Linked DNA regions of Mus musculus. The protein of the gene in region 4 purifies or fractionates together with the protein of the main gene of each other region. This does not show direct contact. Links are inferred from orthologs where the notes say so. Each region holds a gene or a part of one and is shown on either strand. Other genes may lie near its edges.

Region 1 (4,207 bases), on a different chromosome or scaffold from region 4:
CATTACATCACGGCTACACTGCACGGGGTCCTTCCCAGCCAAGCCTGCAACAGTGACTTTGATCTAGAGAAAGAGCAGATAGATGTTCAAGACCATGAAAGCACAGACTCCGGGCAGCCTGACACCCATTCTGTGGTTTGTAAGTAACCTGTCGGGGAGTACAAGACCAAGCCCAGGCAACGGTAAATAACACCTGGTCTCTTCTGGTTTGCCAGGGACAGCCCTAATTTGTAGCTGAGCCACTACTCTGGCTCTGCCTGGCTAGAACACCCTCTATTCCACAAGTGCTGAGTTGGGAGATGAGTTACCGGGCCGTCCTAATAATAACCCACGGGTTGAGGGTGGCATTATCATTACAACCGTATGGGCTTTTCTTAAAGTAGAAGTGCACAGCACACAACTAAACAACACTTTATCCTGTAAAACATTGAGTAGGTGACACTGCCAGTTGCTAGTCCCCGAAGCTCAGGAGATACCCGACAGTCCTGGGGGAGGACAGGTGAGTGCACTGGAGGCAACTTTTCAGAACCCAGTGATGCTGACTACACAGTCAGCAACCCCACCTTCAGGTGCTGAGCCTGAAAAACCATCCTCACGTTTGCACAAATAAACCCCACAAGAGAATATTTATTAAAGAGGCTGCAGAGATGGCCAGTGGTTAAGATCACCCCGGGGTTTGGTTCCCAGCACCGACATGGCGGCTCACAACCACCTCTAACTCTAGTTCCAGGGGATCAGGCTCTCATGTGGTGCACAGACAAACATGTGGGCAAACATTCATATATACACAAAAGATGAATGAACGCCTCGAAGTATTTACTCCAGTGTCATAAGGTTGTCACTGGAGGGGAGGGGTGGTGGCTTTCCTATGCTGTCCCAACTGTGCAGCGATGTGAAATGAAGAAACCGGGTCTGAGCCCTGCTCTAACTGGAAATCAGCGCTGCTGAGCGTCTCTGCCTGGGGTTTGTGAAAAGAGGCAGAGAGCTGACCATGCTGCTGCCAGGTCTGAGTGAGGAAATGCTCAGGGTGAGCCTGGCAAACCTGAGTGCATCCCATGCTCACCGTGTCACATAAACACAGAGTGGGGAGCCCAGGCTAACACGGAAGACAGCGCACAGCCCCTGACCGCCACATCTGCACCACGGGATGCAGCTCACACACAACATTAAACAAATAAAAGTGACTTGGAGTCCCCTCGTTTTTAAAACAGGGAGAGCTAGCCCATGAGGGGAACTCACCCCGGCTCGCCGCATGACATCCACAGGAATCACTGTCTCCATCTCCTCTGCTCCTTTGGCCAGGATGACCAGAGCTCTTTTGGAAGCCATTTCTATTTCTTAAAGACTTAAAAAAACAGGAAAAAAAAGTGTTCAAAATGTTGCCTCTGTAACAACCATCTGTTCACGCAGAGTAAATAACTTCTGTGTGACAGGTTGGGATCCATGGAAGCAAGCAGCTTAGATTAAAACTGGTTCACATGGCAGAGTTTCAGCACTCTAATCCCGGGATGAAAACAGGGTGGCTGGGGTGGGTAGTCTGTGGCTAAGAGCACTGGATCAAGGTTTAGTTCCCAGCACCCACAGGGCTGCTCCCAATTGTCTGCATCTCCAGGTCCAGGGGATACAGCGCCCTCTTCTGGCCTCTGCACATACATATATGCAAGCAGAATGCTGATACATCAAAATTAAATCCTTGCATGCCTTTAATCCCAGCACTCGGGAGGCAGAGGCAGGTGGAGTTCTGAGTTCGAGGCCAGCCTGGTCTACAAAGTGAGTTCCAGGACAGCCAGGGCTATACAGAGAAATCCTGTCTCGAAAAACAAACAAACAAACAAACAAACACCAACCAACCAAAATCTAAATCCTTTAAAAAAAATAATAAATGTGGGATTGCCAATGTGTGCTAGTATTCTTTGCATTTTCCCTTACTGTGCTTTCTTAGGACCAATCTCTAACGAAGACAGGTCACATAACGGGCCCTGCATATCAGTCACACTGTGGAGAGGCTGGTTTTCTTAAAATACTCTGAAGGAGGGAGGGAGGGAAGGAAAAGAATAAGAGAAATAAGAGAAAGAGAGAAGGGGAGGGGAGGGGGAGCGAGTCGAGCGCACACCTTTAGTCTCAGCGCTTGGGAGGAAGAGACAGAGACAGGAGTATCTATCTGTGAGTTCGAGGCCAGCCTGGTCTACAGCGTGAGTTCCATGATAGCCAGGGTTACAGAGAAACCCTGTCTCAAAAAACCCAAACCAAAACAAAAAAGCAAAGCAAAACAAAAAACCCCAAATCCACAATTTCACTGGTAAAAAACCAACTTGTAAATTTCGAAGGTTTTGTTCTTGTTGTTGATGTTCCAATAAACTGCTAAAATGTCAGGACCGGGTTGGGGGAGTCCAAAGGTGCTAAATCTCTGACCACACTGCTAATGATTAATAAAGATGGACTATCTCTTTAGGAGGTCAGCCCTGCTGCGGCCGGGAACAGCTAGCCGCCACTCGGAGGCACTTTCCGCGTGCTTTCCCTGCACGCTCCCCACGCATCACAACTTTGGTCAAGCCTTCCAGTAACTGCGCTCGCTCCAACCCGGAGGATGCTGTGCAGAGCCTGGCCCGGCATGCACTGCGGCCGCTGCCCCCAGCCCGCCCAGCCGGGACCCTCCGGGGCAGCGGGCGGATCACAGCCCGGCCTCTAGCCCCAGGGCGCTGACCTGCAGCCGCGCCTCCTCCACCCACGCGAAGCCACCGCTAGTCCGCAGGAACCTCGCACCCGACGTGTACCCAGCACGCATGCGCGCCACCCGCACTGAGGCTGCGCACAACCCCTCGCTTCCGCCTCGGCCTGCGTCATGTCCGGCTGAGCCCAGGCCCCGGGGTGGGGGTGGGGGGAGGAGCGAATAGAGGCTACTGCGGCTGCGCAGCGCTTGTACCATCTCGCCCCCAGACAACGGTACCGCCCACCCTGCGGGCGCCTGCGCAATTGCCCCTCTCTGCCTCTTCGACGTTTAAGTTGATAGTGGTTCCGAGTTTGAGGCCTGGCTGGGCTACAGCCTGAACCCCACACTTGTAATCCTAGCACATGCGAATTCACAGGCTGAAGTTCAGTCATTTTTGGAAGCCGTCTTACATTACGGTTTTTGTGGACCGTTTGCCTTTCTTGCCCCTTACTGTGACATCCCCTCTATTTGCCCCTGGCCTGCTAGTCTTCGTTCCACGTCATCCCAGGCCTGTCCCTCCCAGCTAGGCCTGGTCACCCTGTCCCCTGGGTCACAGGACGGTGTCAAGCTTTAAGAGCTCTTGCTGGTTTTGCAAAGGACCCAGGTTCGGTTCCCAGCATCCATTTGGGGAGACTCACCACTGCCTAACTCCGGATCCTGAGGATCTAATGCCATCTTCTGACCTCCACGGGCACTGCACTCATATGCACACAAATAATAAAATGTCCTACTGCACCCTCGGGTTGGAGCAATGCTATCATCTACGATAAGATAAATTATTTAATTATCTCATTTTATTTCAGCTTTTTACACTTCTGGGTTGACAGTTACTGTGTGTGCATCTCAACCTGTGCCAAAGGGTGCACGTGGAAACTCACAGAAGACCACTCGCCTTAGTGTGTTCTTTCTTTACTACAAGGTCTCGGATGGAACTCAAATCCTCCGGTGTGTGGCAAGCACCCTTACCTGTCGAGCCCTCCCACCGGCTCTCTCCTGAGTTTTTAATAGTTATCTTTCAGCTTACAGGAGGGAGACCCACCCTCACCTGGTCCTATCTGTACCCACCTCAGAGAAAGCCAGCTCGTTTGGCAAGTCTCAGTACTTTTTATACAAACCCCCGACAGGATATAAACTTGCTTTCCTTCCTATATGGAGATTGAATACCTCACATACATTGGCTGACCTCCATCATAGGTTCATATTGGAAATCTTATAAACTGGAAATTCTTTTTTTTTTTTTTTTTTTTTTTTTGGTTTTTCGAGACAGGGTTTCTCTGTGTAGCCCTGGCTGTCCTGGAACTCACTTTGTAGACCAGGCTGGCCTCGAACTCAGAAATCCGCCTGCCTCTGCCTCCCGAATGCTGGGATTAAAGGCGTGTGCCACCACGCCCAGCTTCAAACTGGAAATTCTTACAGTAGGAGTAGTTTAATTCTTAAAAATTGCTAAGTCATGTATATATACAATAAAACTTGGGCAACTGCTTTAGGAGTTGTGGA
Region 2 (3,565 bases), on a different chromosome or scaffold from region 4:
CCCACCAGGAGACAGTCCAGACAATCTGAAGATGTTTCTGATTGTCACAGTGGAGGGAGGGTTGCTCTTGGTAGATGGTAGGTTGGAGCCAAAAATGTTGTTAAATGCTCAGCCATGGTCAGGTCTGCCCACAGGGCTGAGGCAAGATGTCCCAGGCGAGAGGTCTCTGTGAAGCCTATCCATACCATTGTAAGCACTGTACATAAGAGCTAACGGGTGACAGAAACGGTGACTGCTGAGAGGATACCATTATAAGCACCGTAAATAAGAGCTAACGGGTGACTGTTGAGAGGATCGCTAAGTCTGATGTAAGAGATCCAGTCTATAAGGTGACTGGCTTCTCTGTGCTCAGGCACCCCATCTTTCAACTATAAGGGAAAGCCTACAGGTGTGGCCCATATTTGTTTATAATGTCACACTATGACCTTTGAAAGCACTAGTATTTTTTTTTTTTTCCTAGCCTCCTAACATTGCAGGAATGAGGCTGGGAATATTTAACCAGACTCTAAAGGTCTGTCCCGGCCAACAAAGAGGGTGATCTGAGCAGGTAGCACCGTGTACTGTGAGCCACTGTAAAGACCAGGCTGAAGGCGGGGCATTGGCTTGATAGCCAGACCTGACAAATCTGTGGGGAACAGTTTTGGGTTTGCTGTATTTTGTTTTGTTTTCATTGAGACAGAACCTCGCCGCTGGCCTCGGATTCACCACCCTCCTACCTCAGCCTCCCAAATGTTGGGATTATAGGGATATGTCACCATACCCAGATTGCCTGGGGAACTGATGAAGGAAAAATAGTTCCTTTTCTGAGGGACTAGTTCACCAAAAAGAATGCGGCCAGGATACCAAGGACCACCATCACAAGGACATAGCTCAAGGTCCCCAGGGAGAAACCCCAGGGTGCTGTTTATGAGCACAGCCTAAGTGAGAAGCCTCGTGTCACGTAATCTTAGATAAGTCACTTAGCCATCCAGCAAGACGGAAAGAGAGCTGTACCCAGCTCACAGGATCATTCTGCGAACAGACACCTGTGACGTGTTTGCAGCAGTGCCTGGCATGTGGCGAGCACTTGTTAAACAAAACGCATGTTGTCAAAGATTTCATAATCAGAAGTTCAAAATCAGGGTCTACAGTACTTGGCACTGTGGAACAAAGTAGCCAGGGGAACGAGCTGTGGCTTACTGGTCGATACAGTGTAATTCCACCGTGGACTGCAGGTTTGCCAGTGAGCCACAGGGGTGGTGGTGGGCACTTTAGCTCCACCTCATCTATATGAGAACAATCTGCACCTGAACTTGATTCTGAGTAAAATTGATGTGGCTCAGTGGTAGAGCGTTCACCTAACATGCAGGAGGCACTGGGTCCTACCCCAGCTCCCAAATAATGAAGCTCTAGATAAGAGGAGAGTAGGCTGTGCACCAGGGTGAGGAGTCTCCCGGGGATTAAGAGTTCCCAGGCAGAGAGCTAGTCTTTGGAAAAGGATAGTGCCAGTGAGTCACTGGAGACCCACAGTCAGATGACCACTGGTTCCCGGACTCACCCACAGACAAGATCTCCTGGCACTTTTCACACTGGCCCTTCATCTTCAGGCATCCTGTGGAGTTGCGGCGGATCTCCTTGCACACAGTGCGGTCATCTTCACCTTCTGGACACATGAGGGGAAAGAGGGGCAGGATTAGACACATGGCACATCAGAAGGATGCCCACCCGACAGCCTTCCACACCTCTGCTCAGTGCCATGGTCAGGGCACGATGCAGCTTATTTGTTTGCTTGCAGCCATGGGACTTCCCTGTGGCTGAGGATATTCCCACGGCTCTCAGCAGGTCCTGCCTGCCTTCCCACCATCTCCATCTGAGGAGATCTCTCCTGCCACATCCCCTCAGCTGTGTGCCTTCTGACATCATGGCTGTTCTTTGTTCTCCTTGACTGATGGTACTCCCTAACTGGCCTTCAAGCCCCAGAGAGCACAAGTGTGTCCTGACAACATAAACCATCTTTAGACAATGGAGCTACAGTAGATGTGTGTTGGATGCCAAGACTTCTTCTATTTCTAATGCAAACCATACCATGTAGGACATGGTATTAAGACCCAAGGCACTAATGGAAAAAAAAAATCACTCCTCAGACACCGGTTTCTCGTGTCCACGTGATATTTCATCCTTACAGGCATTACACGCTAAGGTCACAGCCATGAACATCTTCTTTAAGATGACACAGACTCATTGCCTGGAAGGGCGGGCCTCTCACACCACACCCTCAAAAGTTCCCAAGAAATAATATCTGGGATCCTATAGGAGGCACAGCCCCAGATCACACCCTGAGTTCACTGTAACAAACACAAGAGCTCCAATCTCTACAAATGCTAATTGAACTGCGCCCCCCCACATTTACCTGCATTTCTTTGCCCCCATCCTAGCTCCTTTACCCTACAAATGGAGGAAATACCAGCCTCTGAGGCTTCTAGGAACATAAAACCAGCACAGGTCAAGCCCTGGAAGAGCCTAGACATCTGGGACATTCACATTCCTACTTAGAAAGAAAGCAATTGCTTTCTAACCTCTTAAGAAATCCACGTCTGGGAACTGGAAGGCTGGGCTGTGGAGCTGGACATCCATGGCCTGTTGAGCCTGGTGGATCATCTCAAAGAAAGGCTGGAACATGTTGTGGAAGCTCGGAGGCCCATAGTGGGAGGGAGACATGAGGCTGCGGACCAAGCGGGACTTGGGATATAAGAAATGAGGCCTCTTGTGTGGGAAGCCGATGGGGGAGAAGTAGTGGGGGTCATGAAGCTCACGGGCGAAGAACCGGTCCTGAAAGAGCGTGTCTATGATGCCAGATGCCCGAGCAAAGCTGTCCTGCATGGCATCCAGGACTTGGCTCTGCTGCCGGTCACTCTCCAGCAGGGAGTCGATGCGGTCGCCGTTCATCCAGAAGTAGAAGGGTGAGCTCTGGTTTAGAAACTCCTCTAGCTGGGACCCAGAGAAGTAGAGTAAGGCATTGTGTGTACTCCAGCCTGTATCCCCCTGTGGCCACACAGAAACTGACCCAAGTTCCCACTGTTCTGCCTCCTGGGTACCCTGTCAGCACCCCCCGTCCCCCCGCCGCCGCCCCCCAAATCCATTTCTCATGGCGAAACTCGGAGGTTCCCAAGTCTCACCTTGGGCCATAAAGAATAAATAGCCACTCCTGCTTAGCTGCTCAGCCTTGAGGAAACAGTGAATTTTACTGAGTTCCAACCAAGTGAATCTCACAGGTAGGGATAGAATTAATGCAAATAGACTAAATATTTTTTAATTCCCTTTTCCTATTCTAACACAGGATTCTACCATCCCATAAGGCCATTTTACCCAACCAGTTAAAGGTCTTGAAAGAGATGGTACCTGCCAAGCAGACATCACCAATCGACCATGACACTAGAACGATGTGCAGTCAAGCAATGCTAATCAACTGTACCCAGCATATGGAATGAGGCCTATTTCATGGATTCTCCACATTCCCCATCCAGAACCCAGGCTGTGGACATCTCTCCTTCTCACCTGCTGGCCGACCAGCCCTGAGCCGCTCCTG
Region 3 (3,565 bases), on a different chromosome or scaffold from region 4:
TCCTTCCTTTCTCCCTCCCTCCCTCCCTCCCTCCCTCCCTCCCTCCCTCCCTCCCTCCCTCCCATTCTTTAAATACAGTTATGGGAGTTGAACCCATAGCTTGTTACGTGCTGGCAAGTGCTTGACCACAGAGTCACACCCATTGACCTCTTGAATTTTTTAGTTGGAGTAAGGATTTCACTGTTTCCTAGGCAATTCTTGAACTCTTTCTGTAGATCACACAGGCCTTAAACACTGGCCTCTAGAGTAGCTTGAACTATGGGTTTCTGTCACCAAGCCTGGCTCCCCTACTTTCTCATCTCAGCTTTACATCCATAGCTGTGCAGTAGGGCTAAAAAGAGGGCAAGGAACAGATTTACCAAAGAAATTCAAGTTGAGCCCAAAAGGCCTCTGTTGTCATGGCTTGGTCTCCCTGAGTGGCTACAGGGTATGAAGAATTGCTTTGGGAAGGAAGAGCTGAAGCAAATCCATGAGCACAGTGGCCTCATTATGTGCTCTTAATGCCCAAGGTCTCAGCAGCTCCAGTAGGTGACCCAAAGACATAGGTGAGGAGGCTCCTAGCTCATCTAAGCCCCAGAAGAAAGCTGTGGTCAATCTCTGCCTCAACCACAGTCATATTTTGGGGACAAAGCAGAGTTGGGTGTGGTGACTTTTGTGCAGCCCAAGCCCCACAGTCCATCCAGCTCCAGGAACCTCCTGGCAGCAGAAATTCAGCTCTGGTCCCCAGAAAGGTGAGATGTAAATACCAGGATTGGGTCACAGATCCCAGGACCATAACCTTCAGGGGCAAACAAGATCAAGACAAAGTGGGGTCTGGCATGAAGAGGCAGGCAGTGCTAGGGACTGGGCTGAGACATGGCTCAGGGCCTTGCCTGCCTTGCTTCTGGATGAGCTCAGGACATGGGGTCAGGGGACAACCAGAGGCATTAAGGGGACTATGTCCAACACTGACAACAGCTGCAGCAAGCAAGGAGGTTCACCACCAATCCAGGATATCCCCTTGAGTGGTAGCTATACAGGAGCCTTCCACTTTAGTCAGGAAGCTGGGTGACAAGGTCATACTTGAGGATGCAACATTGGGGTCCACATACAAATGATGAAAACTGCCCCGCCCATGGCCCTCAAGTTGAAGCTGCTGTCCTATGCACAGGTGCCTTCCTGGTGCCCTACCTGCTCTTCATGGTTATTGCCGGGATGCCCCTCTTCTACATGGAGCTGGCTCTCGGGCAGTTCAACAGAGAAGGAGCTGCTGGTGTCTGGAAGATCTGCCCTGTCCTGAAAGGTAATATGCAGGGATGTGTCCCACAAAAGACATGGCTATGTCTTTGGGGGTTCAGAACAAGGTGATGACGTTATGTGCAGGTTCCAACTTCCTAAACTGTGAGGATATATGTACATGACTGTGGGTCATACCTTAAAGACTGGTATGACCAGGAATCTTCTAGAACATGCCTTGCTCCCAGGCCAGGCTTCCCTAAAGCTAAGTGATGGTATTTTTGTCAGGGTGTTAAAAAAATACCTATGAATCTGCCACGTGTCTATCAACCATCTACTTACTTATTTATGGTCTATCCAACAAGCACCATTAAAAAAAAAATCTATCATCTATCTATCATCTGCCATCTATCTCTATTTATTACTCATTTATCTACTTATCATCTATATACATATTATCTGTTCACCTATCAGTCATCTATCATTCATCCTTCTATCTACATATCATACATTTATCAATCATGTATCTATCAATCATCTGCCTAGTTCAGTGAGTCCCAGAATGTTTATAAAAGGCCTAAGAACTATGAGGCAGGGGTACCTTACACTGAGTCTAGGTAGCCTGCTCAGTGATTGATACTTCCCAGATGTCAGCTCCCTTGTCCCAGGAGATCCCAGCTGGAGAACACAGTGCCTTCTTCATGGGAGATACTGACACTGAGAACAAGGCTAAGGACTTCTCAATGAGTTAAAAGCCAATCCTGAATCTACCTCAGCCCTGTTTACCACCAGCCAGCTTTGGATCACCCTTATCCTGACCCACTGCCATCCCAAGGAAGATAGAGTTCCAGGAGACTTCAAGACTCTTCTTGGAAGAGACCCAGTGACATTCCCCTCCAGTAGTTGGCATATGCTGAGAAAACGACGCTTGAAAGATTAGCATTGGGTTTTCTCAGAAGTATTTGAACAGTACCTGCATAGAAGAAAGCAGAGCCCCAGTTCCCCTGTGCAGCATCTGTGGGCCAGTGGTTGACACCCAAGACCAGAAACTGCTGCTTTGAATAGGAGCAGCAAAAGGGCTTCTCACAGCTGCTTAGCCCATGCATGCTCTTCATGAGCATGCTGCTCTTGCCCAATGGAAATGTGAAATGCAGAGGTTGTTGGGCACAGATAGCAGGCTTCTCAGTTTAGGATTCGTAACTGGTAAGTGTATAAAACTGTGTTAAGAAGGACCTTATCTAAACCTCCATGCACAGCTTTAGAGACAGACAGATCCTCTGGATATGTTACTGCACTGGATGTTCCCCACTGTGCTCAAAATGTAAGATTCAGCACTTAGGAGAACTGCACGGGACTGTCCGACACCATCAATGGTTTCTAATGGAGGACTACTGTGGCACTTGGGAACCCTGGGACTTTAGGAGATAATTCTTGTGTTGAACTCCAATTACTATACAAGCTTTGTTGGGCCAAGGTCAATGAGCTCAATCTAAGAGCTCCAGGTGAAAATAGCTCTTGTCATTCCATCCTAGACTATCTAGCAGTGCTAATGTGACCCAGGGAGTATATACCATTTCTGAGGCTGTGGTGGTAGCCACGAGCTTCAACCAAATCTGGTTTTCAGGTGGCCGTTTGGAACTGAATTGGAGACCCAGCCTGCCTGTCCTTGAATAGAGGACATGTCCAAGTTGGTGGTATCCTGTAGCTGTGTGATGCCAGAAGTGGATCTGCTGGACTTTTTGAGATTCGTGCTCCATGACTGTGGAGTGTGACATAGATTTCCACAGGATACAACCAACCAGTGCCTCAGTCTTCGCTGGAAGTCGCAAGGACTGAAAGGCCAACAGGAAGCCAGGAAAAGGGGAAAGGTTCAGTGCCCGGGGCTGTGGCTAACCCAAGAAAGCTAGTTAGCTCAAACATAGACCTACTCACAGCACAACTCTCTCGGTAGTTGGGTATGAGTGCTGGTGTACTCAAGAATCCCAGCACTAAGGAACTGGAGGCATAAGGATTGCAAATTCTAGGACAATCCTGGCAGAATAAAAGGCTGTCTGAGCAAAGCTCTTCCACAAAACCACTAAAGCAATTTTTTTTTTTCTATTTGTAAACTATCAGTAAACCATTTTGAAGAGCTTCACGGCACGATGCAATTCTCATAACTTGGCTTGGAGCACAGTGGATGAACAGGCATTGGTACTGATAGCTTTGTAGGGAACAGAAGACTGTGGCTATGTTACTGGATAGCTGAGAGAACCTCAAGAATGTGAACAGAGTCCAGTGAACTTGCTGCCTTAGTTTTTGGTGGTCCTATCCTTGTTTCTCGGCAGCTTTCAACCCATTCCAAAGACAA
Region 4 (3,997 bases):
TAATTGATTGTATTTCATGGTAAACCCAGGAAGGAATTTCTAAGCAACATTCAGCATTATCTGGATGAACTCTGAAGGGCAAACACAGTTATCCCCTTATACACATGGACACCCACAGCCTGTGACATCCTCTTCTACTAATGTAGGAATATCAGAGTTAGGAGCCCCCAGGGTTGGCCTTTCATATTGTCTTATCCAGTTTATAACATAAATCTCACAAGTTACATTGGAAAATGCACTGAAGAGGTGGTTTACTATATTTCCTTCCTATGAGCTGTATAAAAATCACGTAAACATCAGTGAGAGGGGTCCATTGTGTCACTTGCTCCTCCCAGTTATATACAAATGAAAAGATCTCTTTGCTGTCTTTTCTCAACACAGTTAGTTGATGCTCAGGAGTGGTGGTAACATGCCCAGAGTCACAAAAGATAACTTAGGCTGGAATTGTAATGTGCATCCTATGATCAAGTTCTGGGGCTGAACTACCACACAACCAAAACCTGGATTCTTATACTACCATGTAAAATACTGTTACTCTACATTTTGAAGTGAGGTGATTTGGGGACAGTTTAAGACTTATTTAACTTATAAACAAATTGGCCTCTCTGGGTTTGTAACCAGAGATTGTTGATATCTATACAGCATGATAGGATGATCTGTAAGGTGCCCTGCCAAGCTACCGAAAGCATGACCTTCAGAGTCTGACCTTGCCTTAGTGTCAACTCTTATTTCTTCCCTCTGCCCACCTGTCCATTATGCCTATGATAAAAGCAGAGGGAGATAGCATTTACAGTGAGTATATTGCCCACAGAAGCTGAGCATCCTTTGATCTCATTGAAATAGACCATTTAGCCTCTAGTTGCTCTTTGAGTATTTGCTGAACTCTGTCATTCAATAATTACTTTGGTGGAACAAATGGAAAAGAACAAAAGATCTTTGATGAAGGATACAAAAAAGCTCCATCATGTCAAGCTGAATGCTAGGGTGTCTGCATTGTGGAGAGATAATCTGAAATTTTGTCCAATCATATCTTTGTTTTGGTTTTGGTTTTGGTTTTACTTCAAGTACATATAATTTCAAACTTCAGCTTTCCAAAGAGAACTATTTCTTTGGCAGCATTTAAGAATGAATTATTGGGGCTCAAAATATAGCTCACTGTTTAAGAACATATGTATTTTTCTTCCAGAGGACTCTAGTTTATAATCTAGCACCTATATGGAGAATCACAAGGATCTATAGCTCCGGTTCCAGGGAATGTGATGCCCTCATTATTCACCACACATGCACATAGTCCACACACATACTCACAAATAAAAGAAAAGAAAACAATGAATTATAAAACACATGTACTTTACCTTTTAAAATTTAGGAAAAATAAATAATAATGATAATTTGTCAATATTTGTTTTACTTTTTTGGAACATTTTTACTTTTTCATTGAAATGCTATGTGGGTTCTGTCTACAAATGACATCCTGTTAAACATTACACCAAAAATAAGCTATCCTTATTAGAGAATTGGCAAATGATTTCAGAAAAGTTTTGAATACATTACTGTTATTTGATTCATCATTACCCATTGACTACAAACCATTGTTACTATAGCATTGCGCTTATGGAGAGAACTTATGGACTTTAGCTTTGGCAACTTCCAGTGTAGTTAATTACCTGTGCAAAATATTTGTACTCTTTAGATTGGTAACCCATGCATGCACAATGTTTTTTCCAGTGGTTTGGTACACTTAGAATCCATCAATAATACAGAAGAATGCACTTCTGATAACACTTCGTGCAGCACCTTGAAGATAAGGTGTCTTTTTCAAGCTGGTTTTCAGAAGTTAAAACACTCTCTTATTGTGCTTTCTCTTCCCTCTCTGTAGGGTGAGGAGGGGTACCCACAGGAAGGAATCCTGGAAGACATGCCTGTGGATCCTGGCAGTGAGGCTTATGAAATGCCTTCAGAGGTAAATGCCTGTATAAAGAAAACTAAGCAAAACACTTTAGGTGTTTAATTTGGAACACATACCATCAAAACCCTGCCACTATCAGATCTCTCTCACATTATGGTTGGCATAGTTCAATCAAGAAAATATTTTAGAGCAAATGATTTTAATCTTTGTGGGAGAGGGTAAGGGATATAGTAGGTCAAAATTAAAACATTCTAGAACAAGAGACTGGTAGTAACAAAGGCATATGGAAATGTCTGAGTAACAACGGGCAGTTATGAATCATGGTTAGAAAACAGAAAAATGACAGATTAAGGCTGAAGACATAACTAAGGTTTTAGACAAACTGTAGAGCCCCAAGTTACCATCATTTAAGTTTATTTTTACATTTGGAAAAAGAAGAGTTTGATGATAGGTTTAGTTTAACAGCACAATCCTAATTAGAGTTAATTTTGAGGAAGGCTATCAAATTCAGTTACATTGGGTCATTACTGTCATGAATGTTATCTGGATTTTGTCCAGGAGGCTTGGGCTTTCATGTGAAAGATCCTTCATGGAAGCAATTCATGAAGGTGGAGTGTTCTAATGGGGGAGAGAAAGGCGAAAGATGAGCTCTGGAGGAGGCTTCATGCAGCTTACCTAGGTGTGCACAGCTCACACTGCAGAGCAAAGGAGAGAATCCAGAGACCCTGCCAATTCACACTGCAGGAGGAGAGCACAGATCAAATGATATACCTAGAATTGGGCCTAATAATCTAACGGTGATGTCCTCTATAACTTACAGTTGATACGTATGAAAAAGCCAATAAATGTCAATGACAGATAAGTTCCAAACACTGCTCTGAGGATCAATTTTATCTGATTGAAATGATGAGCCCTCCCCCACTGTGAAGCAGACAGTTGATATCTGTCACTTCACTGACAAGGCATGCTGTTATTATTTTCTTTTCCTGATATTAGGAAGGCTACCAAGACTATGAGCCTGAAGCCTAAGAATGTCATTGCACCCAATCTCCTAAGATCTGCCGGCTGCTCTTCCATGGCGTACAAGTGCTCAGTTCCAATGTGCCCAGTCATGACCTTTTCTCAAAGCTGTACAGTGTGTTTCAAAGTCTTCCATCAGCAGTGATCGGCGTCCTGTACCTGCCCCTCAGCATCCCGGTGCTCCCCTCTCACTACAGTGAAAACCTGGTAGCAGGGTCTTGTGTGCTGTGGATATTGTTGTGGCTTCACACTTAAATTGTTAGAAGAAACTTAAAACACCTAAGTGACTACCACTTATTTCTAAATCTTCATCGTTTTCTTTTTGTTGCTGTTCTTAAGAAGTTGTGATTTGCTCCAAGAGTTTTAGGTGTCCTGAATGACTCTTTCTGTCTAAGAATGATGTGTTGTGAAATTTGTTAATATATATTTTAAAATTATGTGAGCATGAGACTATGCACCTATAAATATTAATTTATGAATTTTACAGTTTTGTGATGTGTTTTATTAACTTGTGTTTGTATATAAATGGTGGAAAATAAAATAAAATATTATCCATTGCAAAATCTTTCCTGGTTCCTTTTACTTTAGTAACAAAATCATGCATATCAGGAACATGAACATTTAATGACAACTGACACAGTGAACTGGAATGAAAAGTTGCAACATGTCTTAAGGAACCGAGGGGATTTAGAGATGGAACAGCAGGAAGGATTCTCCAGTGAGATTGAACACAGCCAGCTTTATCTACAGTTCTGCTCAGAGCTGTGGCTGCACTTGAGGAAACACTTCATTGGAACTAAAACGTGTGAGGGATAGTGAACTTTTACATATTCATAAGACACATTAGCATATCAGAGGCAGGCCATTGAAGAACCTTAATTTGGAATTTATGGCATGTATATGTGTGTGTGTGTGTGTGTGTGTGTGTGTGTATTTGTGTGTGTGTGTGTGTGTGTGTGTGTGTGTGTGTGTGTGTATAAAAGAACCCAGGAAATACCTTAAAACTCCTCAGGGACCCCAGGCAGTGGGCTATGTATATGATACCTTAGCAGGTACGCAAAGGTAAAA

Evidence for each region.
Region 1: the proteins of Snca (region 4) and Park7 purify together in Homo sapiens (affinity purification with western blotting; 3 studies listed by BioGRID and IntAct, with this or other methods). This does not show direct contact. The link is inferred for Mus musculus from reciprocal best matches to the Homo sapiens genes SNCA and PARK7.
Region 2: the proteins of Snca (region 4) and Clu purify together in Homo sapiens (affinity purification with western blotting; 3 studies listed by BioGRID and IntAct, with this or other methods). This does not show direct contact. The link is inferred for Mus musculus from reciprocal best matches to the Homo sapiens genes SNCA and CLU.
Region 3: the proteins of Snca (region 4) and Slc6a3 purify together in Homo sapiens (affinity purification with western blotting; 6 studies listed by BioGRID and IntAct, with this or other methods). This does not show direct contact. The link is inferred for Mus musculus from reciprocal best matches to the Homo sapiens genes SNCA and SLC6A3.

What each region holds. Positions count from the first base shown.
Region 1 is NC_000070.6:150,907,079-150,911,285, forward strand, and holds the start of Park7 (Parkinson disease protein 7 homolog), read right to left. Parts: upstream 2,844-4,207; 5' UTR 2,705-2,843; intron 1,346-2,704; 5' UTR 1,330-1,345; coding exon 1,240-1,329; intron 64-1,239; coding exon 1-63. UniProt on the Homo sapiens protein: Multifunctional protein with controversial molecular function which plays an important role in cell protection against oxidative stress and cell death acting as oxidative stress sensor and redox-sensitive chaperone and protease.
Region 2 is NC_000080.6:65,974,983-65,978,547, reverse strand, and holds part of Clu (clusterin preproprotein), read right to left. Parts: coding exon 3,535-3,565; intron 2,968-3,534; coding exon 2,556-2,967; intron 1,643-2,555; coding exon 1,538-1,642; intron 1-1,537.
Region 3 is NC_000079.6:73,539,695-73,543,259, forward strand, and holds part of Slc6a3 (sodium-dependent dopamine transporter), read left to right. Parts: intron 1-1,150; coding exon 1,151-1,282; intron 1,283-3,565. UniProt on the Homo sapiens protein: Mediates sodium- and chloride-dependent transport of dopamine. Also mediates sodium- and chloride-dependent transport of norepinephrine (also known as noradrenaline). Regulator of light-dependent retinal hyaloid vessel regression, downstream of OPN5 signaling.
Region 4 is NC_000072.6:60,731,070-60,735,066, reverse strand, and holds the end of Snca (alpha-synuclein), read left to right. Parts: intron 1-1,879; coding exon 1,880-1,963; intron 1,964-2,905; coding exon 2,906-2,938; 3' UTR 2,939-3,494; downstream 3,495-3,997. UniProt on the Homo sapiens protein: Neuronal protein that plays several roles in synaptic activity such as regulation of synaptic vesicle trafficking and subsequent neurotransmitter release.